Arabidopsis thaliana: one gene and its partners. The protein of the gene in region 2 interacts with the protein of the main gene of each other region in a pairwise test. Each region holds a gene or a part of one and is shown on either strand. Other genes may lie near its edges.

Region 1 (11,162 bases), on a different chromosome or scaffold from region 2:
CAAGAGAATTAAGTGTCTAACGAGAGGACAAAAAAGAATCTGAAACTCTTTAGTGAGGCGCTTACATCATCACGTTTTTCCAACATCGTCGTCGCATTTTTTTTATTCTTCGTAACGCATGTATTAATTTTTTCTTGTCAGTTTACCGGAAAAAAAAATGAATGACTTTAATACTATTTTGGAAATAAAGTGTAGTAGATATATCTACTTTTTTACCGGAATATATAGTCTAATAGCAATTTTAGTTAATCCCACGCAGTGACTAAACTGAGCATGGTTTAGCTATTAGATCATATACATAGGTGATATATTTAGATTATCAAGAATTAAATAATTTTTTAATAGATTAAACAATAGACTTAGATCTTAGATCTGATATTGTATCAGTGTAGTGATTCTTTTGATATTAAGTATCAGATGATGTGGATGCTCATAATTCATCTGTAAAATTCGTTTTTTTCTATAAAAAAAGAAAATTCACGATAGTCTTTCTACTGTTTTAGCTAACTAGCTACATTTTCCCCGAGTAAGTAATTTTGCAGGCTTTTCGTGATTATGTGACATAATTTTACAGTAATTTTGTAATTCTATGTTTTTATAAATTTATTTTTTGATTTTACAAATTTTTTTTTTAATAATACCAATATCGATCTCACCACTAAAAACAATTTATTATCGGTTCTCAAACAATAAATAAACATTAAAATTAATACTAAATAATTGTTAATGATATTCATAAGATATTAACTATGTGCATGATAATCACGTTACATATCCTACGTTCCTACTTCTATCATCCAAAAGTCGCGTCGGAAAAAAGTGCCGTGTCTATGTTTGTTTTTCTTTTGTTATTTGTTGGTTTTTTTTTGGTGTGGTTTCTATAGACTTTTCTTTTAAAAAAGATTACAGTCCAATAAGAAATTGAAATAGTAATTGGGCTAACGTGGGTTAGCCAGAGTTACAGAAAGAGAGAATTTTCGGTGAAGCTAATCGGAGTATAAAAGGAAAAACTGTCAAGCTTTTATGCAATTTTCTTTCATCGACCTATTGAGTTGCCGGTGATTGCAATAACAACGAAATTTCAGAGTTGTGCTTAGGACTGCCTAGTCCTGAAATTTTGGAAACCAAAGTTACAAAAAACGTTTTTGAGGTTATTTCCTAAGATTTAGAAAACATGGGTTCTTTATATTATAAAATTAAATAATTTGGGCCTATTTTATACTGTAAAATTTTAAAAACAAATCAGAGGCCCAAAGTCAATGTTTCACGAGGCTCTGTTTAGGACCGGCCATGTCCGTTTTGTTGATGGATACTAAATTACTAATGACCTAACGGGTTTATTTAGACCGAAATAGTTTTATTAGCTAAAACCAGTTTTCAAATGGTTTGTGAATTGCAGCATGCAATGTGTGAGCATGATTTCCCAATTGTTCTATCAGTGTCAAAGTGATATGGGCCAATCCGAACGTTTTATCCAAATGGATCAAAAGTTTTGATTTTATAAGATTGATGAGTTAAATTAGAAATTTTGAATCATAATGGACTAATTATCAAGAAAATGACACTGGTAATACATTTCTTAACACATAATTTTTCCTATTTTTATAAACGGAATCTGACCATAAGTATAAAGATTGATAGAAGTTTTTTATAAACTATTGTGTATATCACATTTGTTTAGGAAATATGTTAGTAAGACCTTGGTCCAATTGGTTCACCTGATAGTCAAAAATGTGTGGTGGTCCTTCAGGAAGAAGTCCAATCTGAAACATTTTGGGCCGTTTCTAGAAGAACTGATTGGATCAGCTGATAGAATTTTATTAAACAAAAAAAGACTATTTGTATATTGATTTCATTTTTAGTTCCCGAGAAGAGTAGAACAAATGCTAAAATGTATCATGCGGCCCAATAACCAACAAAACTAGTTGAAAGATGGATCAATGGTTTTTACATGAAGAAAGCCCAAACCATACACTAATAATCTAATATTCTATTAAAAGGACTTGCTGTTATTCGGCCCAATAGCCAACAAAACTAATTGAAAGATGGATCAGGGGCTATGGAATACCTCAGAATAAAAAGTGTTATTCATTGCAGAGGACCCCTTAAGCGGACATGGTTGGGTCCTTGTTCGACAAGACTTAGTCCTCCATCTTGGCCTCAAGAGTGCTCGACGAAGTTTATCACCGCTTCATGCGGAATTTTATTCCTTGCTATGGGCAATAGAATGCATGATCTCTATTAGCGATACTTCTGGCGCTTTTGCTTCCGACTGTTCAGACCTGATTTCTATCATTAACAATCAAGAAGATTGGCCGACATTCGCAGCGGAATTGACATCCTATCGCTCCTTAGTTTATTTTTCTCCTTCTTTTCGTATTAGATTTCTTCCTCGTAGTTCTAATACTCGAGCAGATTGTTTAGCTAAGAAAACTCGGGCTCGTAATAGCCTTTTCTCCCATGTAAGCACATCGGTTCCTGAATGATTCTTTCTAGCGGAGAGTCTCTTTCCGATAACTTAATATAAATGGTGTTTGATGAAAAAAACAAATTATCGTAATGATCCTAAAAAGGAGTTAGAAAATATTAATATCTTATCTACATCTAGATGATAATTGTTTTTATGATCCTTATTAGATAGTGTTTAAATTTAATTATCCACTAATTTAAGCATAAACTATATATTCTATCACCGTTTAACCAATCCATATAAATCTCTTTTAAAGCTTCTAGAAATGAGTCTCACACATCAGAAATTAGCTATTTTCTTATTTTATTACAAGAAGAGAAAAAAACAAACAAACAAACATGTGTTACTCTCATTTTGCCACATGCATTATAACGTATAGGTAGGTGAATCACCTAACTTGTTTCAGCTTATGTAATTAACTTTACCAATATATTAATTTATTGTTGATAAGTATATTTTAAATTAAGATATGGGACCAGAAAAATAACAAAAGTTTCTATTAAAAAATGCTTGCATTTAAAAGAGAAGAATGTATAAAATCTTTATCAAAAAAAAGAGTATATCATAGATTCATAATAATAAAAAAAATTTGATAAATGACTTTTTATTTAAAAACTTAAGATATTACAAGCTATTACTCTCTTTGTTTATTTTTAATTGATTTTCTAACAAAACACACATATTAAGAAAACATATTAAAACTGATTATAAATGTATCGATTTTTGTGATTTATATTTTTCTATAATTCTAAATCAATGATATTTAATTATTTGTGTTGAACTTTAAAATTTATCATTAATAACTAATAATTAGTGCATAGAAAATCTAAAAATCAATCTTTTTGAAACAATTTTTTTTCTAAAAAATCAATTAAAAAGAACAGAGAGAATATTGTTTTAATAATAAATGTTTTATTGGTAATCCAATATTAAAATAATTATATGGATTAAATTTAATTATAAATTTTAAAAAATTTGAACAAAAAATTATTTAGTGAATTGATTCCAACATGTGGAAAAAAGGAAACAGATAATTAAAAAAATTGATTGGTTCTGCCAAAATTGACTACCTTCAAATCAGAGATGATTTTAAAAATAAATTCATCCAATTAAACTTGCCACATCATCAACTTGGACCAGAATATTCGCAGTCACCAAAAACAAACCAATGTGTCCAGGTTCAATGAATCTGGAATCACCTGGTTCTTCGTATTTTTGTTATATAATGCCACGCTTCTCACAAATCATCTTGAATTGAAAATAAAAAACGAAGAATCAAAACAAATCTTAGAGAAAACAAAAATCCAATTTTTGCTGTGAAGATGGCAATGTCTGTAAATGTTTCTTCTTCTTCGTCTTCTGGGATCATAAACTCTCGTTTCGGTGTTTCATTGGAGCCAAAAGGTATAATTTACTTTCAATTCTGAGAAATTTCAATTTGTTCGTCCGAAATCTGAGAAATTGTTTGATGGGTCAATGTGGGTTTTGATTATCACACAAGAAATTTGATTAATTTGGGTATGAATTGTTAAAAGTTTCGATTTTTTTTTGTTTCTTACAGTTTCGCAAATTGGTTCGTTGAGGTTATTGGATCGTGTTCATGTTGCTCCTGTGTCTCTGAATCTATCTGGGAAGCGATCATCATCTGTTAAACCTTTAAACGCTGAACCAAAGACAAAGGATTCAATGATTCCTCTTGCGGCAACAATGGTAGCAGAAATTGCAGAGGAAGTTGAAGTGGTTGAGATTGAGGATTTTGAAGAGCTTGCTAAGAAGTTAGAGAATGCTTCACCTCTTGAGATTATGGACAAAGCTCTTGAGAAATACGGGAACGATATCGCCATTGCATTTAGGTATATATCGATCATGAGATTTGATATAAGTTTGCTTTTTGATAGCTTTTGAAGAAAGATTGCTGATCTTTGTTTTGGCTCTTGTGTGTTTGCAGTGGTGCAGAAGATGTTGCTCTTATTGAGTACGCTCATTTGACTGGGAGGCCATTTAGAGTATTTAGTTTGGATACAGGGAGGTTGAATCCTGAGACGTATCGGTTTTTCGATGCGGTGGAGAAGCACTATGGGATTAGGATTGAGTATATGTTTCCTGATTCTGTTGAGGTTCAAGGTTTGGTTAGGAGCAAGGGATTGTTCTCTTTTTATGAGGATGGTCATCAGGAGTGTTGCCGTGTTCGAAAGGTGAGACCTTTGAGGCGTGCTCTCAAGGGTTTAAAGGCTTGGATTACTGGTCAGAGGAAAGATCAATCTCCGGGGACAAGGTCTGAGATTCCGGTTGTTCAGGTTGATCCGGTGTTTGAAGGTTTGGATGGTGGAGTTGGTAGTTTGGTGAAGTGGAATCCGGTTGCGAATGTTGAAGGGAATGATGTTTGGAACTTCTTGAGGACTATGGATGTTCCGGTTAACACATTGCATGCGGCAGGGTATATATCGATTGGATGTGAGCCTTGCACGAAAGCGGTTTTACCGGGTCAGCACGAGAGAGAAGGGAGATGGTGGTGGGAAGATGCTAAAGCCAAGGAATGTGGACTTCACAAAGGGAATGTCAAAGAAAACTCCGATGATGCTAAAGTGAACGGGGAATCGAAATCCGCTGTTGCAGATATCTTTAAGAGTGAGAATCTTGTGACTTTGAGCAGGCAGGGGATTGAGAATTTGATGAAGTTGGAGAACCGTAAAGAGCCTTGGATCGTCGTGCTTTATGCTCCGTGGTGCCCCTTTTGTCAAGCCATGGAAGCATCGTATGATGAACTGGCGGATAAATTGGCTGGAAGTGGGATTAAGGTTGCCAAATTCAGAGCAGATGGTGACCAGAAGGAGTTTGCTAAGCAGGAATTGCAGCTCGGTAGCTTCCCTACCATTCTGGTTTTCCCTAAGAACTCATCGAGACCGATCAAGTATCCGTCTGAGAAGAGAGATGTTGAGTCTTTGACTTCGTTCTTGAATCTTGTCCGATAAGTAAACCACAAAACCAGTCGACATTTCTATGAGGAATAAGAATTATATCTTCGTCTCGTTCCAGATTGCTAGAACAGATGAAGTTGGTGTTTGGAGAATCAATTCAAAGCTTTGGATCACAAAGTCAGAGATAAGCTCTGCTACAAAGCTTGAGTAATTGCAGTATTGTAAGATTTATAAAGTTGCGATAGTGTTGATTCTTCATGTAAATGTGTGGTGTCTATTAAAATCAAGCCTCTGTTTCTTCTTTGCATTCATTTTTGAGAATATAGAGCTAAGAAACTGATGATTCTCCATGAAAATCAAGACCATGATTCTTCGTATTCATATCAAATTATCATCATATACTAAGATACATTTCAAAGCTGAGATCAGGAACACTAAGATACATTTCAAAGCTGAGATCTTCAGGAACACTAAGATACATTTCAAAGCTGAGATCTTCAGGAATCAGAACGAGTAAACAATGCTAAGCAACTGATTATTCTCCATACAAATTTGTGACACTAAGAGAATTCAAGCTCTAGTTTCTTCACATTCATATAAAATTACCATCAAATACAAAGACATTACCTCAAAGTTGAGTCTCTTAAGAGTCAAAACCAGAGTAAACACCACTCTCTCTCAACTGTCTCTTCTCTTCTTCAACATAATTCTTGCCTCTACTTGCTTGTCCCAAATCTCTCTTCTTCTTCTCCTTCTGTGAAAAAGAGAGATTCTTCCTATCATTCCGCAACTGCGCATTCGCAATCGTCTCGCCACCAGTAACCGCAGCAGCTCTTGTAGCTTCTCGTTCTTGATAACTTTCTTTCACTTCCTCTACTCTTTGTTTATCCTTTCCCGTAGTCCATGACCAATCCTGTTTCTCCATGGGAGCAGGAATATCAGAAAGACCAACAGCTTTGTAACCATGCTGCTGCAGAGATTCATAGTCAAAAGCTTTCTTATCTTTCTTCGCAAACCTCGCTGCAACCGTAAAAAAAAAAACAAAGTTACATAAAAGAGCTCTCACAAAGTTAAAACAATGAAGCTTTTCTCCTACCTATTGGCTTCTTGCTCTTTCTCTTCTTCTTCTTCTCCCCAATCTCTGTATTATCCACATTTGAATCAGAAGCAGAAGACGATGATGATTCCTCAGAAGAGTCTTCATCATCATCATCATCATCATCATCCCATCGCATCAAACCTTTCTTCATGATAACAACTCTAACACAGAATTGAATTCTCCATTAGTCCAATTTTACAATCCAAAAAGCTCAAAACTTTAAGAGAGAAAGTATTCAACTTTCCTGATTTCTCTTCAACGATTTACTAAAATCATTTCCCAATAAGACAAACTCGTCCAGCAATTCGAAAACAAATCAAGTACGAATCTTTGTAATCGAATTGAGAAACCCTAAATTGAATTGAAGGTTCACGAAGATACCACAAATCTAATTAGAGTATAACAAAAGCTTCGTACCTTGCCGGTGTAGTTGACGAAGGTAGGAGAACGATTCGCGGCGGAGACAGCAACAGTCGCAAGATCAGAAGCTATACTCGGTCCATGTCCGTAGAACCAAGAGAATAATATAAGTCTCGAATTTTCCAATTCAATTTTTGGTTTGTGCTTGGTTTGGTTTGGTTTTTTTCGGTTAATTCAATTTTAGGATTTTTCTTCGGTTTAGACAATTTAGCTAATTAGTAAATTGATCAGACGAACTTATCAACGTTGATGATGATATTACTATAGAGGTTATTTTATTCAATGGCAATAGAGAAGATGCAGAGGAAACAAAACAAAGAAACTAGAGAGTCAAATTAGAATCTTGTTTCAAATACCATCTTCAAATGCAAGAGATAGTAAGAGAGCTCAAAAGGTTAAACCAAGAAAGTAAAATGACATTATTAAGGTCGACGAGAATGTACAATCATCAAGAGGATCAGACGTAGAAGCTGAGGTAATTAGCAGTAGAAAGATCCACCAAATGTGTTCTCTCCACTGTATGTCATGTAGAGAAACCCGTCTTCGTCTTTGTGTTCTTCGTAGATTGCAGACATCAATGCCGCTGTTTGTAAGAACCAGAAAAGAGAGAAACCATATTTATACATGAACCATAGAAGTAGAAGATTCACACAAGGTTTAAAAAGTGTTAAAATCCTTTACCAGTTGGTGGTAATGTGTTCTTGACAAAGACAAAGATGGCTTTTTCAGCTCCAAGCTTGATTCTTTTCCTCACAACGTACACAAATTGGCCAATGGTTAGATCAGCTGGTACAAGATACCTAAAGAGAAGAAACAGGTGTCAGCAAAAAACATCAAAACCAGCAAAAAATAATGCTATGCAATTCAATCTCTGTATCTAGAAACTGCTAAACTGTACCAAGGGACAAGTTTTGAAGAATGAGAACTATAGTTAGACTCAAAATTTCATCAGCTAGTGATTAAAAGGATTACCGGATCATATCACATTTCCATTAGACTCAAAGGAGATTGAAAGCTAATTTGTGATTTGATACCATTATGATCCAACAAGAGAGATAGAGATAATATGTAAAACAAATTACTCACTTCTTCTTGTCAATGTCAGGAACATCACTCTGTCCAGCTTTTTCCACAATCACCTGTATTGAGTTCTCTAATTAGAAACTTAGGGTGACACTGTAAATCTTGTTCCGTAAAGTGAGAGTTTAGAAAACATACGGGAACTCTTTCAGGGTATTTCGCTCTGATACGAGTAGACTCAGCCATTCTCATCTCTGAAACCAAAACAAAACCATAAAAAATCAGTCACAACTAACGGATTATACAAACACATGAACACATCTTAGTGACATGTAATTCAAGTAACTTCCAGGAAAATTCCAGAGGCACAAGTACTAAATCTTTATAGATTCAACAACAAACTAGGTCTAATAACTTAATCGTGTTAATGTAAATCAATGGAGAATACAAACAGAGTAACCAATATCAGAGATCGAGAATCAGAACCAACAAACTCGTGATCAGGCTAATCAAAACTTGAGTTCCTTTAACAAAGATCATAATCGTAACACAATCCAAAGCCCAAAAGATCGAAGAAAACCAAAGAAGTAAACAACTATCCTTTAAACGCTTATCGAGTGACATCAATCAAGCAAAAACCCTACAGAAATTGCAAAAAGTAAAAAAGAAGAAACAAGGAAACTAACCCAGAGGATTAGAAAGCTTGAAGGAGTTCTTCTCCATGATGATTCGGTTAGTATCTACGATGATTAAGAGAAACAAAACTCGAAACTTTATCTGTTAGGCTAAATCGGGAAAAAAACCCAAACCACAAAAACTCGAAATTGACAAAGTGGAGAGGCGAAATCAAACGTACCCAAAAGACGAAACTAGGGTTCGATGATGATCAGAGGAAAAAAAAATGAATTTTGATTGTAGAAGAAGAAGAGGATCAAAAAAATGAAAAAAGGAGAGAATATATATAAAGGAAACAGAGAGGATGGATTTAGGGTTTAGTGATTGTTACCTGCACGGCACCCAAACTTATTACTTGGATTTTAATTAGTTACGATGCTTATCTTACGTCAGCGAGATGATACGACGTCGTTGGATTGTAGTGGTCATGAGTTTGTGAACTATTTATTGGGCCTTTATAGGTTTGGATCTCGTTTGGGCTTTTCTGTCATTTACATGATCAGGACTACTAGGCGTGGACAAATAAACCAACTCGAATATACCGAATCAAAATCAAAGCAAAACTAATTAAATCAAAGCAAACCAAAAATTGGAAAATATTCGAATGGATACTAAATTCTATAAATGAAAGAACCGAAAGAACCAAAACTAAATGGATACTAAATATTATTTATTTTTAGACTACATAATTAAAAATAATTGAAAAGATATATAAAATAGTAAAAATACTCGAAAAAATAACCGAAAATATTCAAAAATGATCGAAAATATCCAAAATAACCGAAATATCCAAAAATATTCAAAGCAAAATAATAGAATGGATATTAAATTTTAAAACTGAAAAAACCGATACGAATCAAACTTTCAAAATAACCAAATGAATACTAAACTTTAGAACCGAAAAAGTTGAAACCGAATAGATACAAACTGAAACCGAATGGATAACCGAACTATTAGGACTAAGGACTACAATTAACAATTTTAGTTTGTTCCGATTGATACCAAATTACCAATCATAAAGACATAAAAAGGGTAAGAAAGCAGCAGAACTGAAAACTATTTCTAACCACTATTTTTATTTATGTCAAAAGTAAGACTGGTAAAAAACAAGGTTAGAGGTTTTAGGTATATAAAAAAAACAATAAACAATACCAAAATAGTTACAACTTTTTTTTGTTAAAAAAAATAGTTACAACTTTTTTTTAAAAATCTCGTTTTTCAACGTTTTCGTCACTAGTAATAATTAGAAGTTTAGAACGGTAAAATACTGCAACCATACGAGATTACCAATCAAAATCTAACTATTTGGTTCGCCTACTGTTTTTTTTTTACCGTGTTGTTTTACTACTAATCATACCAATATAAAAATCTTTGCTTCTACTATCAATCCTTTTTCTATATTTAAAAGCATTATTGAAGTCTAATGTGATGTTTTCTCGTTACATTATTTTCTTCTCGATATCCCATAGTTTTAAAGTTTATTACATTTAATCACCTTTTTTTTGGTCTCGTTCACTCACCGCTATTAAATATCTTATAACTATAATCAAACAAAAAAACATTCAAAACTATTCATAAAAGAGTTCAAAGGAAAATCATGGATTCAATCCTTTATATGTACACCTTCGATATGTGAATATATGACATTGATCGATTGATATGGTTGAAAATGTCTTCAGAATTGGAAACTCAGCATTTTAGGGCTTATTTATTTTTGCATGAAATCGGCTAAATTAATGATATTTAGTAGCAGATTTGCCAAATACATAATTAGCCAAAGATGGACATAGCTAATATTAACAAAGAAAGAAAGATATCTAATTTATATATAACATTGTCGATAGCAAACGACAAAATCTTTCACCAAAACATGGTAAAGAACTCAACTCCAATTAAAGGTTCTAAAGGAGATGCCCCTCTCTAGGCTCTAATTTAAGATCATAAAAAAACCTTCAAAGAGAAACCAAAAACAACAGAAGAACATAAAACGGGACCCATGCATGGGGCTGACAAGTCATCATCATCACTATGATACTTATCTACTCTAAATAACACATTGAAAAATAATAACAACAATAAAGAAAAAAAAAACTTAACAAAAAGACTCTTGGTATAGTGATCCCCACATGATGATGACGACAATGACATTGATAATGATGATGATGTGGATACCATAAAGTTGAGTTTTTCATGATGATAATGTTAAACAAGAGTTATGGGATTCATATTCCATGCACATGGATGATAATTATGGTGATGATGATGATGAGATATTTTATCCTACTTACTCCAAGAAACCAGTTTTTGACAAGACAGCATTTCTCACTTTGCTTAGATCTCTTCCTTTAAGTGTTCTTCCAACTCCTTCACACATAGAGAAAGAAGAGATCTGTGTTCTTGCTAGCTTTCTTGCAACCCATTCATGTGGAGGAACCATGCAACCATCATCATCTTCATCATCATCGTCAGCAGCATGAGAATGCAAATGGCTACTCCTTCTGTTGCTCTTTGAGTCACCATAAACCTTGGACCAATCAGGGACATTCATAGGTGCTGATGA
Region 2 (10,441 bases):
AGCGCCAGATTCAGAGATAAGGCTCATTAAAATCACCTGCTTCACCCATCACGCTAAGATCGTGGAATCTTATATCACTAGACTCTCCCAGATCATGACACGTCATCATCTTCATCATGAGACCCATAATTTTTTGAAACTGTTTTATTTCACTCCCCAATAATATTTTCTGCTTTTAGCTCTTTTTAAGGCTCTTCAAAAATCTCCGTCAACGTCGAGAACAAAATTTGGAGAAATCGAACAGACGATCGAGATCGAGGAAAATGGCGTCGTGGAATTCGATTCCGCTGGAGATCTCGTACGAAATCGTTGGATGGATCGCGTTTGCTTCGTGGTCAATTAGCTTTTACCCACAGCTGATTTTGAATTTCCGTAGGAGAAGGTAATCTAATCTACCTTTTGTTCTTGAGATTTTGTTTCTATATCTGTAGTTGAAATTGAAATTGATGAAATCTTGGTTGTGTTTGGGAAAGTGTTGTTGGATTGAACTTCGACTTCGTGATGTTGAATTTGACAAAGCACTCGTCGTATATGATCTACAATGTCTGCCTCTACTTTAGTCCTGTTATTCAAAAGCAGTACTTTGACACTTATGGCGATAAAGAGGTTTGTTTCCTCTTTCTCTCTGTTATTCATTGAAGCATTAAGCATTTAATGAATTTGATTGTGGAATCTAGAAATGAGTTTTGTTTGGATTCTAAGATGGTTCTTGTTGGCTCTTATCTTCATGGTTACAAGTTTACCTTTACTTATTAGCTAATGAAGTCAAAATTGAAGATAAAAGTTTGTTCCTTTCTAAGTTTCAGCAAAAAAAAAACGCTTTAGATTGTTCGAGCTGGTTTAATTTTTTTTGAGTCGTTTTGTTATAATTGTTGCTTATTTCAGATGATACCTGTGGCTGCAAATGATGTTGCATTCTCGATCCATGCAGTTGTAATGACAGCTGTTACACTGTTCCAGATCTTTATCTATGAAGTGAGTAATCAAGTTTCTTAGGCTTGCCTTTGTCTCTTTATCCCATACAAGTGTTCTTTTTTTCCTGATGATTTCTAGTGATTTGCTCTCAGCGTGGACCTCAAAAAGTATCCAGACTTGCTATAGGTATTGTGGTTGTTGTGTGGGGATTTGCAGCTATCTGTTTCTTCATAGCATTACCTACACACTCTTGGCTATGGCTCATTTCAATCTTCAAGTAAGTTGTTGCGCAAAGCCTTCTGAACCAATTCTTTTAGTGGTAATCTAACAGTTTTGATGATAATGGTTTATTTGTTCATTGTTATAGTTCGATTCAGGTCTTCATGACATGCGTCAAGTACATCCCACAGGTCAGAAAAGATTCCAAACCTTAATTTTTTTCATTATTGATTGAATCAGCATTACTCAGATTTTATGTGTTTGCTTCACAGGCAAAGATGAACTTCACTAGGAAGAGCACAGTCGGGTGGAGCATCGGGAATATTCTTCTCGATTTTACTGGAGGACTTGCTAACTATCTGCAAATGGTTATACAATCTATTGACCAAAGTAACAATCTCTTCTCTATCACATCAATAGCTTTTGTTTTCTCTGATAATAACATTTTGAAAGAAAACTAAAACTATCTATTTCCTTTGGTTCTTCCAGATTCTTGGAAGAATTTCTATGGGAACATGGGAAAGACTCTTCTCTCACTTGTAAGAAAATTGATGGAGTTTTTTTTTTGGTTCAATTCTCTCTCTGTCTCTAATAAACGTCTCAAATTGTTTTTAACAGATATCAATATTTTTCGACATCCTCTTCATGTTTCAACACTATGTGTTATACCCAGAGAAGAAAGTCTCAAAATCTCCGGAAACTGGTGAGGAATCGAACGAACCACTCATTGATTCTTCTCATGAACATGTTTAAAGATCAGATTCTCAAGAGTCATTAGTTTCAGCGTTCCCACTGTATATGTTTATATCACAAAAAGGTACAAATGTGAGAACTCTTCAGATTGTCGTAATATCAGTCTAATGTATCAAATCAATTATCACAGAAACAGCAAATGTATAATACAATGTTCGATCTTGGGTTATATTTTAAGAAACAAGATGAAAGTTAATAGAGCACGATCCATTACCCATAGTAGTGCATCTACTAGTAGTCTTAGGCACAGCATAGAAGAGTTATATCTATGCAAGATCCAACCAAAGTCACTATGGTTCGAGGGGTACCATGAACCATCATCTTCTTGGCAGCGCATATCGATAGGGTCTTCTCTAAGGTTCCGTTTGCGTCCTCTGCTTTTTCTACCCACTTCTCTAATCTCCAGTTTTCTACTTGATGCATCGCGAGCTGTAGTGTACCCCATAGGAGTCCATTAACAGTGAACACCATCCTTTCTTGTCTTGTTTCCATACGTATCATGACCAGAAATTTCTATATGTATATCACTCTGTCATGACAAACTTTATTTCTCAAGTTCATTGATAATACATTTGGAACATGGAAATAACTTAAAACTAAGTAACTTACTTGAAATTGAAAAGATAGTCAAACTTTTTTTTTGTCAACTTCATAATTCTTCATTAAAAGTTTGCCAAAAAAAACAGTCAAAACTGTAAAACTCATTAGTTCTTTTATGGTAGAAAAGTTAAACAAAACAGTCAAAGTTTTTGAAACATTTATCAATAGTATTTTATGGAAGATGGTTAATATCATTTGACTACCATTGTAGATCATTAAAAGCAAGATAGCCTCTATATATATCTTAGTAACTTTTCTTCTAATGATTGTATTACTGGCTCTGCCTCATCTTCCTAAATAACTAAATCAAACCAGGATTCAAGTGGGAGGCCAATGCAGTCTTCACTTTCAACTTTCAAGGTATAGAAATGTAGCATATCTTTCTAATCAACCTAATAACTATGTGATACATTTTCTACATAATCACCAGTTATCTTCACCATCGGCACTTTGCTAATAGCGGATTATTGAAATATTTTAATACAAATGCATACACTTCCATATTATAATTAATGATGATTTATTCATATTAGTTTTTGTGGTTTGGAATCTACAGCCTAAGATGTCATTGATGCTACAAAAAAATCAAGCTCGTGGAACTAGAGCAAGCCTGAGCCAATTTGAGCCAAGAAAGCTTCTGATTGCTAGCACTAAACCCACCATCCCTGATCTGAATGCTGAACCTTGTTCCGACTCGGAAGAAGAAGAAACAGTGGAGAATCTCACAAGTCTTGCACCTCAAGATGCACACAATGGTCTTCCTAAGCTTATGTTCGACCTTGAGGTCGAGATCTTTTCCCGTCTTTCATGTTTTCAATATTGGAAACTAAATCTTCTCAACAAGCAGTTTTCGCAACTGCTACAAAGTCGTGAGATTTTTAAAGTGAGACGAGAACGTGGACTTGTGCAACCATATGTGCTTATGTTTTCGAGCGGTGAAACTTGTTGGGTAATGTTTGATAAAGGTTTCAAGAATTTCCGACAACTTCCAGAAATTCCTTCTGACTTTTGTTTCTTTTATGGAGATAAGGAAACGATTACTGCGGGTACGCATTTGATAGTCATCGGGAGAGAGGAGAAGCGTATTGTGGTGTGGCGATACGAACTAGAGGTAAACAAGTGGATCAACGATACTGAAATGATCACACCGCGGGTAATGTATGCTTCCGCAAGCCGTGGGACCGATGCATTTTTCGCTGGAGGAATCAAGACAAGCGAAAACGGGGGTCCTGATGTTGTGAACGTTGCTGAAAGATACAACTCCGATACAAAAACGTGGAAAGCGATGAAAGCAATGCACAAGCGAAGAAAATTTAGCTCGGGATGTTTCTTGCGGGGTAAGTTTTACGCTCTTGGTGGTCGAGATGAGAATGATGTGTACCTTACTTGTGGAGAAAGTTACGATGAGTTAACAGATTCATGGAAGTTGATACCAGACATGCTCAAAGGCATGACTTTCATGAATCCCCAATCCCCTCCACTTATTGCTGTGGTCAAGGACAACCTCTACTTGCTGGAAACATGGTTGAACGAGCTTTGGGTTTATGATATAAACGCAAACGTTTGGAAAAATCTTGGAGTTGTGCCTGTGAAAGCAAATGCTGCTTTAGGTTGGGGAGTTGCATTTAAGTCAGTTGGAGATAGGATTTTGGTGATTGGAGCTTCAGTTACTAAATCGTGGGATAACAAAATGTCAGTTTACACATGTTGCCCATTTCCAAAAGTGGAAAAGATTACTTGGGAGGAGACTAGCTGCGATTGTGTTCAGCTCGGCCATTTTATCCGTAACTGTTGTGTGATGCTTGCTTAAGGTTTCTGAGCAACATATATTGTGTTTCTGTTTTCGTTTTTATGTTTATGTTTAAAATAAGTTTTGGCGATTATGACGCCAAAACATAAGTCAAATTGTTGTTATGTCTCTCTGTGTGTGTGTGTGTGTGTGTGTGTATGTGTGTTTGTTTCTCTGTTTTGCTTTTGCGTCTTGGGTTTAGACGGCAAATCATCTCATAGAAATAAATATTTGTCGTAAACTTGTATTCCGATGTTTTGTGTTATTTATTTAAAAGTCGTGTTTATGTGCAAAAGATTACTTCTGTTTGTGTTTTTATAAGCTTTATTTACATAGTTTTGTGGTTTCCTCTTTGGCCATAAACTCAAGTTGTCAATTTGTATTGAAATTTGTTAACTGTTTTCAAGTGGCCTAAGTTTTATTTTATAGTGTCGGTTAGACAATCGAGTATCAAATTTAGTTTGAAGAAGTTTTACTAAATAAAAGATTAAACATATACAATGTGGGATTAGCGTGTAGTTTGGTTCTTTCCTTTTGTTTTTTGTTTTCTTTTTCTAGAAGAAGACAAATTCCAATAATTGAATAGTGGAAGGAAGTTATCTACACAACTCATTTGGTTTGGTCCACAAGCTTCACTTTAGGGAATTCGTCTTGACTTTTGACTATTCCTTGTCCCGCAAGTATATTCCTCTTCTTGTTATATCCTTCAAGCAACCTTTTTTATCATTTCACATCTTTCTTCTTCCTTTTTTTTGTGTGTGGTTAAGGTCTCATCGATCAACGGATAAGATGAAGCGTGAAGGCAAACAACACGGTATGGTGAGGACTTACCGGATTCTGCCTCCGTCGCTGAATCCAAGGCCGGAATCGAAGTTGGTCAACCCTTTGACTTCACGGCCAACCGCTGGATTATTTACCAAAGTGACATCAAAGCCGACCAATCACTCGAAATTCACCGGGAAATGTGGTCAAGCAAGGTGCCTTGACTGCCATATGCACCCGGTCACCAAATCTAAAGCCAAGACTAAAGGCTCTTCAAAGGTGAGAACAAATGATGTCACCTATAAGATGCTGACTTGGCAGGTCGCTGCCGGTGGGCCTAGACCCGGTTTGAAGCTTTCCGGGTTCTCGGCTACCGGAATACTTGATCTTATGTCTGATGATTATGGTTATGATCATGATTATGATTATGATGAAGAAAATGAAGAAGAAGAAAACAGAGGGAGTGTTGTAGAAGAAGTTGTGAATATACAGAGTAGTGATGATGGTGGTGAAACAGAAGAAGAAGGGTCAAATGATGATGATGATGATACAGATGATGATGGAAGGATGAGTTTTTGTGATGTGGGGATGATGATGATGATGGATCATGTGGAAGAATATGATGAAGGATGGTATTTGGTTGAAGAAATGATGACTTAACTGATCTCTCTGATTATCCCCCAATAATTGTCTTTCCTTTTGCTTTTGTAAATTTTATCATTTTTAATAACTTGGGGGAATGAATGATTATTTCTATGTAAATGTGATTTGATTCTTAAATCAAAAACTATGATTTATAATTGTAATTTATGTAAAGTTGAAACCTTTTCTCAACAACTCATTCCCACTCCAAATCAGAACAGAGGTTCAACTACTACTATTTATCATTCTTAATAACTTGTGTTAGTGTGATTTGATTCTTAAATCTTGTTTTATAAATGAAATTAATGTAAAGTTGATACCTTTTTCCATTCCAAATTAGAAAGAGAGGTTCCTGCAATCACATCTCAATGAAGAGCAATATAAAACTTAACATATCGAATTCGAATCGAGTATAAAGACTATGAAAGAAGGAGAAAGGTTTTTCATTGAAGATGAAGAAGATACATACATACAACAAAAAGGTTCACAAAGATACAATACCAGAAAAAAGAAACAAACGTTCTTCTGATATTCACTTTTTTCTTGCTACTGTGCACTCAAAGATTCTCTTTTTTAGTTTTTTACCACTCTTGAATCCTAGGACAGATCAATCTTTCTACTTGCAAGTGTTTTCAGAGATTCCTCTTCTGTGTTTTGGTGTTCTACCTTTGTCTTCCTGCTTCTGTTTCCCCAGCCATCTCGGGTTTGAAGCAAAGACATAGAAATGGTTTCTTACTCGTCTTTCTCTGCTGAATAAACACAGCTAGTGTCAGTATTCATATTACTAATGGAAATGAGAAAAGGCTTCTTCTCATGATTTTGTTAAAAGTCGAAATCTTACCTTCTTTATAGTCAGCTTTTGATCTTGAGTTTTAGTGTTTCCCATCAAACAGCTACATCACAACAACAGTATACAATTAGGATAGGAACATCAACTCAAATACACATTGACTCAAGAAGAGATAACAAATCAGTCTTACCTCAAGAAACCGAATCTAGGACGAACTGGTTTTTCGCTTTTCGTCAACGAACTATGAGTTATCGGTTTTCCACTGCAAAATTACAACATAAAACAATCAGATGGAGGACAAATTCTAGACAAAACAATCAAAGCTGCTTTTGTTACCTTATTTTCAGTGAGAAAACAAGCTCCATTGCTTTGTCCGGAGTTTCAGAAGTTGCTGATTTCTCTATAGACAATCTAACCACCGATGAGTTCTTGGTTACGGATTTTCTCTCTTCTTCTTTCTCTCCAACGAAACAACTCTTCTTCACCAACTCTCCATCCTCAGAGTGATTATCTTTCTCTTTATCATCATGAATAACCTGCAAATCATCTTCTTGTTCCAAAACCGCAACATTTGTTCTTACTGGCTCATCATCTTTCTCAATACTCAACACCAACTCTTCACTACTACTCAAGACTAACTCAGTTTCATCACCCTCTTCTTCCTTAACCTCATCCTTAGTCAATGTCTCCAAAGTGTTAAGCAACACCGCAACACTTTCTGGTTCTTGTTTAGGGTCAGAATCAGATGATTGATCTGAAGCTTTTGCTTTCTTTGCTTCAGCTATTTTCTTGTAATGAGCTTCAAAGAAAGCTTTCTTCTGAGCAACAGATCCAGGCTGAGAGAACTTCTCAGCTTCATCGACATACTTCTTATGCGAAAAACTTGACCATTTCCCCCATTCAAGATTCTCTGTCATGAATCTACCAAATGAAACTGATTGACTAAGCGCATGCATCGTATTATCCTGCAACAATCCAACATATCAAAATCAGAATCTTACCAAAACTCAAAACCAAAGTTATAAACTTTCTGGTGAATCAAACTGTTTCCAATCAAACCCAATTCAGATACTTTGAGTAAAATCAACATCAAGATTCATATCTATCAAGCTAAACCCTAAAGTTTGAAACTTTACATTCAAAATCTCCCAGAAACCATCGAATTTTCCCAGGAATCATAGAGAGAATGAAACTAACCTCATGAGATTCATTACGAGAAGGAGGAGCTGCGAACGAATAGGAATGAAACAGAACAGCAGATTCAGCCATTGGCCACAAAACCTCAAAATCGAGAACTTCTTCGTTGGAATCTCAAAAGGAAATAAATAAAAATCGAAGCGTTTTAATGGGTTTTCTCACCGAAACGGCTATAAAAGAATTTTTTCGAATTTTAAAAACTTTTATTTGTCAGCCCTAAACACATGTTTTAGGAGACGATCTGAAGAACTTTGGTTGAGATCTGGGTCCCACGAAACAGATAAAACTCAGAATATCTTTTTAAATAAAGAAGATACTCAATTTTGAGTTTTTATTTGAAAATTTGATAGGAATTTGAGAAACTGAGAATAAATTATGTATCAAAGAAGTCTAACAAGAATGAATGATTCTGCTATAGTTGTTGATATGAAGTGGCTGAGAATTGCAACAAGAGAGAAAACGAATTTTTTCTGGTGATGAAATATTAAAATGTGAAATGCTTTTTGGGAAAAAAAACTCTGTAATTTAAACTGAATTCTGAGTAATTTTTTTTTTTAATTTTTAGATATATCAACGCGTTTAAAAACTATTTTAGTTGTTTTAACTAAAAAAAATGAATCTGATTTTCTATTAAAAAAAACTTTATATTAGTACTTATATGCTTACATTTGATTTTTTTTGGTTAAAAAAATGAATCTGATTTAGGGTGTGAATATTAGAGTCATTAGAAAGACTAAAGAAATAAAATTGTAGATAAGTTTGGAGAAAAGTAGCCAAAAAAGAAAGAAGAAGAAATAAATACGATTTATTAGGGAAAACTAATTAGTAAGTGATTAGCGTTGGTTTATGTAACGGTAGGTGTACTTTTGTAACTCCAAATAAAACAGCTTTGAGTTACAAAAGTGATGTTGTTAGAATGAATACATTACACTTCAACCCATCACAAAAGCAACTACTTTTCTTCCTTTGCATCCAACAATTATTTAATCATATAGCTGAAAATATTGATTGCTTCTCTCCCATAAAAATAAACAAAAATGTATATTAACTCTTTTAGCGTTTTACTTTAAAACTTTTTTTGGTCAAACAAAAGATTTTATCATCGCTTTTATATCTCATAAACAAAATGTATTAGATTATTTGTCATCGTTGAAACTTTAATTCTTTCTCCTTCTTTAGAGATTAACCAAAACCAAGTTGAAGTTTTGGTTCGTTTTTTTTAATTCATATTTCTAAATTTCAAAGATTTTATTCATTATAGAATTAAAAAAAAAATTGACAAAGTAATAGTGAAAATTTCAGAGTAAAGCCTTAAATAATTATTTAAAAATCCAACATTTGGTGGCCTTTCAAAATATTTAGAAGTTTTGGAAAAGGGTATAGTCCATTATTCAAAAAAAGATTAAAAAATCAATTGAAGAGAAAATAGTTTAAAGCATTTAAAGGTTTGAATGAATTCTAACCAAATGTGTACAAAAAAAATTCATTATTGTATCTTCATATTTTTTAGTGAAATTAAATAACATTGGATTTTTTCCTTGAATACAAAAAACATCCAAATCCATTAAAGACTAATATTCAATAACACCACCTATAAATTCTTATGTTTTGAAAATAACCCCAAACTATTTTTCTTTCTTAACCCTTAAAGTTTCATTTTTCATATATTACACCAAAATTTGAAATCATCTTCTTTGATTGTTTTTGGTGTGAGCGAAGATGGGAAGATCGAATTCTCAATGCCCATCTCATTGGATTCTCCTCTGCTTCTTCATCTCTTCTCAGTTTTGGGGATTCTCACTTCCCACTTCGATAATTCAACAAAATCTCGAGGTGAAATTTTTAGGGTTTTTCAGCAATTTCAACTGTAAATTTCGTGTAGAAGAATGTCTGTATCACTTTAGGGTTTGTAATCGATTTGGCTTACTTGGGATTTACTTAGAATTCTAGATTTTGTTCAAATTTTGAAGCTTTGTGGTTGTTGTTCTACAGGGTTTTAAAGATCCTGAAGACGGTTTTCATGAGATTCATTGTTCAAGAGAACGTAGCAGAGTTGCTTGGAAAATCATTCAAGAGGTATGAATTGAAAGCAGTGGTTTTTATTATTTTTTATGCAAATCTGTAGAGTTTTCTCATTGATCTTTGTTGTTGCTGTGAAGTATCTCATGCCGTATGTGGAAAAGGAGCGGTATCAGTTACCGAGTACTTGTAGAGTTCATCGAGACAATGACATTTATAGAGAACAAGAAGAGCACAAATTGCGTTCAGATATTAATGAGTGGCGTTGTGGATTCTGCAAAAAGGCTTTTTATGAAGAGAAGTATCTCGATAAGCATTTCGATTCGCGCCATTACAATTTACTTAATGCGGTATATACTGATGCATTATTGTTAAAATGATCCATCTTTCTGTGACAATTCATACTGTTTTGGGGTCTATTAGCGATTCATAACTTATGTGCTTTTGAATCCAGAGTCATGGTAAATGTCTGTCGGATCTTTGTGGAGCGTTGCATTGTGATCTTGTTGTAGACACAGCTCGGCTTAAGTCCAAGTGTAATCCTGCAGCTGCTGCAAAAAACCGGCACTTATGTGAGGTACATATTTTTTTAGTTTTGATTCGGTCAATATCATATGACAAGTTTGGACTCTAATACTCAAAGAAACCTTGTAGCTTCTGAGAATTGCAAAGAACATTTCACTGAAAGATTTGAACACTTCTGAACATATTGTCTTCGTTCTGTTTCTTGTGTTCCCGTGCTTATCTGCTCTGGT
Region 3 (11,353 bases), on a different chromosome or scaffold from region 2:
ATTCCACAGATATTACCAACAACAACACAAACGTCAGAGTCTCAAATCATCAAAAGCTAGATAGATATACCCGAGAGAGAGATCGATCTACAAAAATCCAATTAAAGATCTATAACGCCTTGAAAGACTCAAGGCTCTTAGAATGAAGCCAAAGCTTTTCAACAACAACAGCCTCATAGTTCTTGATCTTACCACCACCATCCTTCGCCGCAATTTTCAGATCGTACTTTGTACCGGAGACCACTTGCGTCGTTCCCTCCACAACCTTGACGAAAACCAACTTCTCCTTCGACTCCTTGTTATGTTCCTCGATGGCATACTTGGCGACCGCAACAACATCCGGATCAGATACATTCTTGATCGGCTTCCGGCTACCAAGACCACCACCACCACCGAGACCTTCCACGACGGAGACAAGTGGGAGGAGGATGAGAGAGAGACAGATCAACGACTTCATCATCATATTTTCGTTTCCTTAACCTTTTTTAATTTTCGTGTGTTTAATGGTCTCTGGTGTTTATTATATAGACAAGACTTGTAGATTTGGTTTTGCTTTGGAATGTGGGCTGATAGTTCCAGAAATTTACGGAGATCTCAATTGTGTGTTACGCGGTGACGAGTGAATTGTCTTTTTACACCGTCAGATTTGACAACTGGATAAGTCCACGTGGCGAAAGATAATGTACAACATGTTAAAGAGTCAACGAGGGTTGTCCCGTCACGTGTACTCGTAGTGGAGCAGAGCACTAAATGGGCCCATATATGTTGATTTGGGCCAATCTAGATTTGCGTCGGCAACTCAGTATTTGTAGTACGACGTCGGTTTTGCTCTTTAGTCAAGAACTATGTTCAATGTTCATTCCCTGCTTCTTAATAGCCTGGTTTGACTGGTTGGCCCGTTGTTTTATTCCCTAGGGTGGAAAAATCCACAACCGTTAAAACCCAAACCGTGGTTAAATTGATTTGTTATTGCATTTAAATCTCTCTAAATTAATATCCAGTATCCAATATAATGTTAATTCTAAATTAAGACCAAACTCGAAAACCAAGTTACAAATGGTTTTATATAATTTTAGTTTCTAAAAAAAAAACAAAAAAGGCAAACTGAAATCAAACCATAAACCGGATTAATCATCCATAAACCATAGTTATTGGCACAACACTAAATTGGCCCATATTTGTTTATTTGGGCCAATATCTACATATAACGTCTAGTGTTTTCCGAGCCTGGTTCTGGCCCAGAGTTTTTATTTTCCACAAGACGCAAGACAAATTCAACGGCTCAGATCATCCTGTTCCTTTCTAATTTACCGTAGACACGAGCACAGATGATTACGAAATCAAACGTAAGAAACGAAACAAAACTTTTGCTGCGGCGACGATCGGCAATTCGAAATGGACGACGGAGAAGGCATGGAAACTGCAGCGGCAGAGCTTGAGAGACTCCAAATTGAAATCCTCCACAAAATCTCCATTCTTGAGAGCTCTTTTCTCCCACAGAATTCCTCTGCTGCTCCGTCGCCTTCTCTACCGGTTGATGAAAACGAAACTGTGACTCGCCTCTCCACCATTCTCCAGTCCGGCGGCGTTAACGACTTCTGCTTCAAGAGAGTTGCTACCGATTACTATGACTGGCCTCTCGAATCTCGTCGCGACGTTCTCGGCGCTTCCTCAGTCGACCATCTCTGCAAGAGTATTGTTCTGGTACTTCAATTGCTATATAATTGAATTCTATCGGATTTAGTGTATTTTATGGAACAATTTTAAAATCTTCGTTGATATGTGATTGTGACACTACACATTGAATCTCTGTGCCTGTGTTTGTTTCCTCACTAGATGCTGACTATATTACAGGTTAATACTCAAGCTGCATCAAATATTTTGGATTGCAGTGATCCAAACAACTCAAAATACTATGTGGTTGTGGTTCAGGTGCTCCTCATGGTTCCTGTAGAATAGCATTTTCACCTTTGTTTCGTCTTTAATCGTATTCATCTGACTATTTTACTTATGGTAGTATACTGCTAGATTCAATGCTGAAGCAGTGAAGCAGTTTCTTTATTCACTAAACGAGGGCAAGATCCCAAAGAAAAGATTTAATCGTTAGTGCTTCTTATTTCTATGATCTGTTAACATATTGAAGTGTATATGATATGTTGCTTCTTTATGCTGAGGCTTGTGTTAACCTCTGTGTAGTGAGACTTGCTCCTGAGGAGACGTCGATTAAATTGACGGGGTTTGAGCATAATGGGGTAACCTGTATTGGTATGAAGACAAACATACCGGTAAGTTTTGTTTCCACACCGTTATTTCTGTGATAGGTTTAAAAATCTTTGTTTGATTGAAGCTGGCCAACTTTTCTACATCATGCATTATTGACATGTTTTGGGCGTGCTTGCTCAATGCTGCTCTACACTATTAATTACATATTAGACATAGGAGTAGTATGAGAGGAACCTCTACCCACTTATGTTTTCTTCTCCTAGACAAACAGTTTCGTGTTGTATTTTGTATTGAGAAATATTTACAGAGAGTTTTCCCTTTCATACACATGTTCTTGCCAAGCGTTTTGCAGACACTATAGTTTATTGTCCTGTCCTAGAGGCCCGGAAGGTTCCAGTGCCTAATGAGTTACACAGCTAGGTTTGGCCTTGTTTTGTTTCTCTTAGTCTGTACAGGAGGGTGTGGTGCATTATAACACAATTTGAATTGGTACAGAGCAGAAGTTAAGAGTTTCCGTGTGAGCCAGCTGCTGATTGTCCCACTCATTGTCTTTAGTACTTTCCCCGTTGATAGTAAAAAATTAGAACCTCCGTTTTTACAGTTCAATACCTTCTTTGCATTACAAGTGCGAGAGTTAGTAATTGGTGTCAGTCAGAGAGACTTAAATGGCGTTATTTTTGGTCTGTGTATATATAATCTTAGGCACGTACCCTACTGCATTGATGTGTTTATCTTCCTTTCCTTATCCGGAATTGGCCCACTTCAGACAACACACTATTTGTGCTACTGTGACACATGAGTCTTTCAATATCATCTTTAGACCTCAGTAATTAAGTAAATGAGTTTCCCTTTAGGGTAATTAGTTAGGTTGCTTATGCTCTCATGATGAATTACTTGATCTCAATTGGATATGTGCAGATTGACTTGGTATTTCGAAGTATTCATTCATAGTGGAGATATGGAGTTTAGTATTAATTCATGTTTAGAGTTTCCATGGCATATTCAGACTAATCGTGCTTTGAATTGAAATAAACTTTCGATATATTGATACTGACGAGTTGGATGGGGGGGGCTTTGGGAAATGTCAGGTTATATTGGATGAGGCTATAACCAAACTTAAACCGGATTTCTTCTGGTTGGGTGGTGGAGAAATCGATCTGAAGCTCGGTGTCAGAACATCCGAATTCCTTGAATTTGTGAAACCATTCATTGTTCCTTGCAGTTGAAATCAGGAATATGTATAACACTATTTTTATCACCCTGTTATGAAATGTTAGGCTTAGCTTTAAGATTTTAGCTTCAATGAAGGTTTTTATCTCTTATACACATTGGTATTCTTTGTAATGATACTTTTGTTACGTGCTACTTGGAGCTAAAATGGCGGCAAAGAGATCTATTTGAGTCTACATGTCGATTATTCTAGATTGGTTATTGTTGATTTAGCTTCAGGCTCGGTTTAGTTTCTGTATTTAAGATCTCTTGTACATTCAAAGCTTAATGAAGAATTTTCACAATTCTGTTTCTCAAATGTTGAAAATCTTTTATGCAATACCCATAAGAAACAGAGTAATTAATAGGAAGCACCTTGTTTGTTGTATACGAGGAGAAATAGAGAACAAAGAAGTTGGTCATGAATATATATAGAGATAGCACAAGAGTCATTACAACCACCAACATGGTGAATGCATATGCATATAACAGTATGATATATTTAGAGAGACTGGTATATATGGATCGGGTAATTAAGACTTCTCGTTGTGGATCGGAGGCTTACGATGAGGCTGAGGATAATCCATGACTACTACTTCTTCCCCTGTCTCGACTCCACCCAACGCCCGCCTCCTTTCTCCACCATTGAAGACGTCCAAAGAAGCAACCTTGTGATGATGATGCTTATGTGACCTTAAACGACGAGCGGCAGAGGCACATCCAACATTGGAAGACAAAAGCAGAAGAATGAAACAGAACACTATCACGAGTCCACTCCTCAAAGAGCAAGACATGACTTCTCTTATTCTTCTTCTTGTTCTTGAGATACTTGTGTATATATGCTGTGTCTGTATACAGGGAGATGAGACTAGAGCAGGACAAAGAAAGTTTGAAATGTTGTTAATTGGTGTAAGAGAAGAGAAGAGGGAAGGAGAGTATTTGTAGGCAGAAGAGAGTAAAGAGAGTAAGACAAGCATTAAATACAGGTGGGGGGAGGGGTCCTTCATTATCATAACATGCTCTTGTTCCTCTTCTCTTTTATTTCTTTTTAATCTTCTCTCTTGTCTATTATTCAAATATATTTTACATTCAACATACATATCTATCGTATGTATATGGGTGTCTTGATCGGCCAAACCTTTTGTCTACTTGAGAGTCTTCGTGGGGTCATCATCTCCTGCATTCTCATTTTCCTTTCTTCCATTTGCTCACCTTATTCTCCGGTTCTTCACCTTTTTCATCCACGCCATTATTGTATGACCGACGTGTTTACTCTCTTAAGTCCTAATCGATCACCTTCTTATCACTACACTATTTGACATTGATTTCTTTGGACAAAACACTCACAAGTTATGAAAAGCTTTTACATTCAACTTTCACTTCAATGGTCCAAAATCCCAAAAACACAACCGCGTCTCTCATGTTCCACGTGACCGGTTGGAACCTTGAATTACAATCTTTGACGATCATAAATCGAGCTAAAACTGTGAACAAATAAATATATGAAACAAAAATCAATATTGAAAAGTGTAAGATGAGAAACAAGCCAGCATGGTCCGACCGTCTCCTCCTTCTCTCCGTCAACGACAATGTGGGACCTTTATAAGATCGTCGCCGGCCAACCTTCAACCGGTACCGACCATGTCTGCCACGTGGCACAGTTCCCTTGTGCTTGCACTTCTATTGAGTTTGGTGATATAACTTCTCTTCACTTAGGCTTTGCAATTTGGAACTGTCATGGCCCATGTGCCATAAGCGACGTGTTATGTCGGCTTATAGATTGAAGACATCAAAAAAAACACAACAAAGTCAAGAGGGAGATGTGATAGATTCACCTAAAGTAGGTTTTTAGATCCTTGAAAGAAGATTATATACATTATTTTATGTTTTCTGTACATATTAACGCCCGACCAAAGGTCCTTAGAGAATAAGTACATAGGTGGCTTGCTTGCTTAGTAATTAATAAGAAGATGAAATATTTGGTGAAAATAGAGAGGAGTAAAATGAAATATCCAGCAAGAGGTCTCTATTATGGAGATCCAAATCCAAATGTGTTTTCTCCGCTGTAAGTGACATAGAGGAACCCATCATCATCCTTTTTCTCTTCGTACACAGAAGACATGAGCGCACCTGCAAAGTTACCAGATCAGATCAGCCAAATATAAAGAATTTATAATCACCGGGGAACATATAAGTAGACGCCTTCTTATGCTCTTGTTACTTGTGTTAAAAGATAATGAAACTCCTGAGTCTTGAATACAGAGGAGATCTATCTGTTTACCTGCTGGAGGAAGAACATTGTCCACGAATATGAAGATAGCCTTTTCTGCACTCAATTTGATTCTTTTGCGAATGACATACACAAACTGCCCCACAGTCAGATCAGCCGGGACTAGGTACCTGCAAATTTGAAAAAAGCTTAGTTATCAATCACTATTATTAACAAGTCAGGTCCGAATGAAAAGGATACTGATGCCATTTATATGCTTACTTTTTCTTGTCGATGGTTGGTATATCACTCTTCTCAGCCTTCTCAACAATCACCTGGATCCCACAAAAATATAAATGCGTGGAAATCATCATCTCAAGTGTCATTTTTACCATGTGAATCATAAAGCACGTAGCCACATGAATCATGCAAATCTACTTATCTAAGCCGTAAGTACTCAGTAAGAATCGAGTTTCAGAAAGTCACGTTCCAAAAAATGACAACTAAATTCAAAGTCCTAATGTTGTTATAGTCACTATAACTCAATCAACTCCATGTAGTTGAAACAGTGGCAAACATATATCACAAGCATGAAGCTAATCAAACAATAATAACTTGATAACCATCCTTTAGTCGGGTAGGGTGTCCATTTAAAACCAGATGCTATCCCAATAAGTTCATTATATCCCAATAAGTTCATTACTACCATATTGCTGGGCCATAAACCACAACAACTTAACCTGCATAAACTCAGTCAAACACAAAAGATTGATCCGAACATAGAAAGGGAAACAATATGCTAATCACATATAACTTTAGAAATGTATGATCGATCAATGTATAAGAGAGACACTGAAAGTCTCACCGGAATCCTATCAGGATACTTCTCTCTAATCCTAGCAGCCTCTGCCCTTCTCTTCTCTGAAGATTTAGGAAACAGGATCATTAGATCAAAGCACAAGGTTTTGATTTCGAGGACCAAACAGTAAAGCAAGAACAAAGCTCAAATCCAAACCTAAGTCATGCTCTTGCTTGAACGAGCTTTTTGCCATTCCTTCCACGCCTACACACACATAACAAATAGGTGACACCAATCAGACAACCATCAAAACAAATTTAACACTCAAATCAAATCATCAATTCCCAAACTCTGGAACTCAGATTATCAAAATTCCCACAAATCTATCAGTCGATCATGTTAAAGACCCAACCTTTAAGTAATCTAAACGAAAGTACAGGATCGCAATCAAACCAAAAAAGAAGTTAAGAACTCAGTGATCAAACCTGTAGACTACAAAGAACGAAGCTTTTCTGCGATCAAACACTTCTCCAGAGCACAACGCTATCGTTGAAGATAACAACAACAATTAACGAAAAAATATGAAAGAAAAAGCAAATAAGCAACCTACAAAAATTCTGCAAAACATTAAAAAATTATGCGATAAGGTCAGAGATTCTCTACAGATGGTGTATGGTAACATCTAAACACTTCAGCTGACGTTGTATGCTTAATCTGTTCAGTGAGAATCTGACGGTAGATATTAGCTATTTACTGAAATAGGAATCTCAACCGTCCATTTTACTGAAGGTGTACGAGGTAACTGTCTACGTAGATATTGCCTCCAACAAAGGATAAAGAAGAACCGGATATGCTGGGATCACGTTTCTGCATACGATATGACACGTTTACCCCTAGAAAATGTGTGTTAGGTGAAGAGTTCGGAAGGGTAATAGTTGGAAATTGAGAATGTCGCTTATAAGCTTTGCCTCTTCTAACAAAATGTAGGGCCTAGTGCAGTAATGGGCCTTGCAAATAAACGGATGGAAATATGAAAACTAATAAATAAAGTATAGGCAGAAGTTTTTTTATGACTGTTATAGAGATCTGGAGATGTAGGTCTTGGTGTATGGACAGCTTAGGATTTCAAGCTTAGGCATTTCGAAATCAAGGGTTGAAAGCAATTACTGTATTTGAGAATATATCTTCAACACTGCACAAAACTCATTTTGTAATTTATTAAAATACCGGAATTGAGTGATTAATGTCAAAACCGAGAATTTACAGGATAACAAAGATAATTAATCAAAATGAATCTTTTATCAAAGTAAGATAAGTTTTCTAACAAGTTTTTTACTTATAGATATAAAATATTATAGTTGTGAAAAGACATAAACATTTTTAAAAGTTAAGATTGAGTTTTCTGAAGTTGAAAAAAAAATCAAAATTATTTTTTAATCATTATCCAAAATCATTACTTAATCCAAACCGATGCCCACCCTAATTATTTAACTATATTAATAAGGTTTGTAAGCAATAGTATATAAAAAGCTAAAAAAAATATAAGGGTATCTCACTACGTATGACACTTATCAAGTTTGTTAGAGCATATGGGGCACATATGTGGGAGTATGCACTTTTTCATGTTTATTTCACTGCACTTTTTCATGTTTATTTCACTGTTTCAAAACAATCAATACAATTATATCCTTACTCTCGTAACCTCAGGTCAAATAGCATGGTTAAGAAATGCCTTTGACGAATGATTTAGCTGTGCAGCAATATATAGTACTTTGAACTGCTCTAATGGGAGTGGATTGTGGATTTTCCTTTCTTCTGTTTCTTAATCTTGACATTAGATTTCCACTCCACCCCATCTTCGTCTAGTACCTTATAAGTCGTTCCAGCAATGTAGAAGGTGACTTTCTTCTCTTCAAGGTACCTCACAAAACGTTTAGCAAACTCAATGGGTGTTGAATGGCTTTTGTACTTTGATAAAAGACTCACAGCAATCTCCTAGTTAGGCTTGAAAATCAAAGTCTTGACAACTCGTTATGCCTCATCAATCACTTTTCCTCTAGCCAAGCCGTCTAAATATGTCCCCATTATTTCAATAGTTGGTTCTATCCATAGAGTCTTGACTATCCTTGCAAGAAGATAATGCCCATACTCAGTTTGTCGAGCATGTGTACAAGTTACCATCACGTTCCAAAATGTTGAGTGAGTTTTGATCAAGGTGGAAGGAATGTTCTCAAAGACTTGGATTGCTTTGAAGCATTCACTATTTGTGCCTAAGGTTGATATAAATGCATTCCACATACCTATACATGTAGCTCCAGATTTACCGCATTCATGAAAGAGTTTTTCTGTTAAGAAGAGTTTCAAACTCCAACTCTTAAGATTGGAGAGATATATTAGTCACATGGTAACTTTGTTAAGGAAAACAAAAACTCAAATATTTTTAAAATTTGTTAATCAAATAATTTTAAAATTGATTTCTTGTATAAAAGTATTGTTTTTTTGTGTATTTTAAATTATATTTTTATTTTTATTAAGTTATTATGAATCAAATATTTAAGAATTAAATTGAATTTTGATTTATACTTATATTCCAATCTTGTATATAAGTTAGTCAGATTGAAATATATGGTCGAAAATTGGTAAAAAATAATATTCACCATTATTTTGGTCATTAAGTTTTGACCACTTTTTGGTAAGATGTTTTCGACCACTATTCTCGGTCAAAAATGTCAACCGATCAAAATATTTCTACCATTTTTATTGGTCTAAAATATTCGAAGCAAATGTTTAATTCAGTATAAACATGCAACCAACAATTTACAAATGGTCAAAGAATTTCTACCAATTTTATTGGTCAGAACTCAACTTGCAACCAACAATTTACATCAACTTCGTTTTGGTAAAAAAAATATCGATCGAAGATAGGTGTTTTTGACCAAACTGATGAATGTATCAATTCTAATCGTAATACATTTTCGACATTTACCACACTGATGAATGGTTTTTACTGTTAGGGTCGAACAAAAAAAAAATCCAAATTGATGTTAGCTGTTCTGATGTCTCTAATTTCGATTAATTCTACCAAAACATTAATAACTTGGACTACATTTTAGTTGAAATTTACCCCTTAAAAACATCCAAATTGGGTGATACATTGGTGAGAGAGAAACCAAACCTCATTTAAAGTCATAAGTTATAATAATGCAGATGAGGACAAATATAGATTAGGATATGGTGTTGCTGGTAAAGGTGTGAAGCGACTTTGCCTCCTTGGTACCTTGAGAAATGTAATGATGAAGATGATAGTGTTCGTGGTGAGGATGATGATGGTGGATATAGAGGTTATGAAGCTGAGTGGGAAGAAGAGTTATTGGCCCATAATTCTAAAAATATACGACAGCCATTTTGAATGATTTCAACTAAACATACGGTTAGTTCCGGTTTATATTCAGTTTCGTAACCAAAGAAAAACGCAAATCCCAAATTTTCCGGAAATGGAGGAATATTTGAATCTTATGTTGAAAGCGAGAGAGATTCTTGTTAGTGAAAGCCATGAAGAAGTAGCGATGGTCATCGATCATCTCTTTAAGCGTCAAGACTCCGAAGAGTATAAAACATCGCGTGCGCTGTACGACATCTGCGTTTCTTGTAACCCAGGTTGCTTAACCCTAAAGCTTCTTAAAGTCTATCAATCTTCTTCCAGTGGCATTCTCAGACTCCGATCAATCTCTCAACTCTCTGAGACCCTCACCTATCTGAAAAATCAAATCGTATTTTCCAAATTCTCTCTCGACTCTCTCTATGAAATCAAACCCCTTTTGATTTTATGCCTTACAATGCAAGAAACCAAAGAATCTGACATCAAGATCCTCAGGAAAATCGTGTCTTTTGTAACTTACAATGTCGTGGAGTTGCATAAAGACAAATGGGACGAGCTCGGTGATTGTATCTTATCCCTAGCGAGTAGCAAAGAACCTGTCAAGGCTTTTCACGTCTTCATCGATCTGCCACCAGTCTACAAGAGTTTCATCGGCAAGTTTTTGGACAAAATTTTAGAGGAAGCTAGTAATGTCTTTCTTTATCCTTATAGAGTTGAAGATTGGAGCTTGGCTTTACAAACTTTTGTTAAAATGTGGATTCAGCTTGAGAAAACAGGGGTGACAGTAGAGTTACTAATGGCGTTGATGGAGATTTGGATTTCCTCTGTTGTGAATTCAGTAAAGAAGCTAGTGGAGATGAAAAAAGAACAGTTTTTGGTACGAGGGCTTGAAGATTTCGAGAGTTTCTTCTCAGGAGACATGAATCTGTATCATTACACTAAAGACCAATTCCATTTTGTGTTGGCTTCCATGAACGAGATCGAAGGAGTAGTCGGAACAGAGACAAAGGAGATTGTGAGGAAGATCAAAATGTTGGTGACAGAACCATATGATGATCTTAAGAATCGTAGAGAAGAGTTTGAACGTGGCTGGTATGACATTTTGAAGGATTTATCATCACTGGAAGTGTTAAAGATTCTTGCGTCCTCTGAACTTGAAGATAGGTCCAAAGAGATAGCAATCAGACGACTCAATGTCTTACTCTCTGATCACACTTCAAAGAAAGTGCAGATAGACATTTCAGAGATGAGACAACTCCAACCATTGCTCATCTCTTGCTTAAAGGAAGAAGGACTTTCCTTTAACAGTATGTTCAAAGTCCTAGGTGAGGTGGTGAACCATGTTGCATATGAGATGTTGATCTACCAAGAGGAGACATGGTACGAGCTACGAGATTATATTGCATCGAGTAAAACAGAGTTTCATAGAGCGGTTTATATCTTCCAGTGCTTAACAATGGCACTTATTGACGACGATTTTGTGATTCCTGTGATGGAGAATCTTTTCCTAGAGATAATCACAAGGCTAGACCCA

The links.
Region 1: the proteins of AT5G40690 (region 2) and ATG8B interact in a two-hybrid assay, tested with the Arabidopsis thaliana proteins (one large-scale study listed by BioGRID).
Region 3: the proteins of AT5G40690 (region 2) and ATG8F interact in a two-hybrid assay, tested with the Arabidopsis thaliana proteins (one large-scale study listed by BioGRID).

Annotation. Positions count from the first base shown.
Region 1 is NC_003075.7:2,321,277-2,332,438, forward strand, and holds ATG8B (Ubiquitin-like superfamily protein), read right to left. Parts: upstream 9,315-11,162; 5' UTR 8,784-9,314; exon of another isoform or gene 8,668-8,783; 5' UTR 8,651-8,667; coding exon 8,614-8,650; intron 8,182-8,613; coding exon 8,126-8,181; intron 8,047-8,125; coding exon 7,994-8,046; intron 7,708-7,993; coding exon 7,589-7,707; intron 7,491-7,588; coding exon 7,387-7,490; 3' UTR 7,166-7,386; downstream 1-7,165. Other genes in the region: APR1 (APS reductase 1), read left to right, coding at 3,793-3,874, 4,032-4,323, 4,419-5,442; AT4G04614 (uncharacterized protein), read right to left, coding at 6,032-6,408, 6,485-6,638; AT4G04630 (senescence regulator (Protein of unknown function, DUF584)), read right to left, coding at 10,887-11,162. UniProt on the Arabidopsis thaliana protein: Ubiquitin-like modifier involved in autophagosomes formation. May mediate the delivery of the autophagosomes to the vacuole via the microtubule cytoskeleton.
Region 2 is NC_003076.8:16,285,705-16,296,145, forward strand, and holds AT5G40690 (histone-lysine N-methyltransferase trithorax-like protein), read left to right. Parts: upstream 1-4,681; 5' UTR 4,682-5,065; coding exon 5,066-5,698; 3' UTR 5,699-6,009; downstream 6,010-10,441. Other genes in the region: AT5G40670 (PQ-loop repeat family protein / transmembrane family protein), read left to right, coding at 264-382, 474-606, 886-975, 1,068-1,192, 1,283-1,325, 1,407-1,524, 1,624-1,673, 1,753-1,887; AT5G40680 (Galactose oxidase/kelch repeat superfamily protein), read left to right, coding at 3,050-4,297; AT5G40700 (transcriptional regulator ATRX-like protein), read right to left, coding at 6,343-6,429, 6,522-6,573, 6,661-6,732, 6,807-7,435, 7,668-7,739; AT5G40710 (zinc finger (C2H2 type) family protein), read left to right, coding at 9,387-9,500, 9,660-9,743, 9,827-10,036, 10,141-10,263.
Region 3 is NC_003075.7:9,301,421-9,312,773, forward strand, and holds ATG8F (Ubiquitin-like superfamily protein), read right to left. Parts: upstream 7,119-11,353; 5' UTR 6,926-7,118; exon of another isoform or gene 6,705-6,925; 5' UTR 6,694-6,704; coding exon 6,657-6,693; intron 6,563-6,656; coding exon 6,507-6,562; exon of another isoform or gene 6,070-6,506; coding exon of another isoform or gene 5,977-6,069; coding exon 5,924-5,976; intron 5,833-5,923; coding exon 5,714-5,832; intron 5,563-5,713; coding exon 5,462-5,562; 3' UTR 4,919-5,461; downstream 1-4,918. Other genes in the region: AT4G16500 (Cystatin/monellin superfamily protein), read right to left, coding at 110-463; AT4G16510 (YbaK/aminoacyl-tRNA synthetase-associated domain-containing protein), read left to right, coding at 1,396-1,704, 1,855-1,932, 2,018-2,102, 2,197-2,285, 3,312-3,449; RGF6 (root meristem growth factor), read right to left, coding at 3,966-4,409; AT4G16530 (uncharacterized protein), read left to right, coding at 9,935-11,353. UniProt on the Arabidopsis thaliana protein: Ubiquitin-like modifier involved in autophagosomes formation. May mediate the delivery of the autophagosomes to the vacuole via the microtubule cytoskeleton.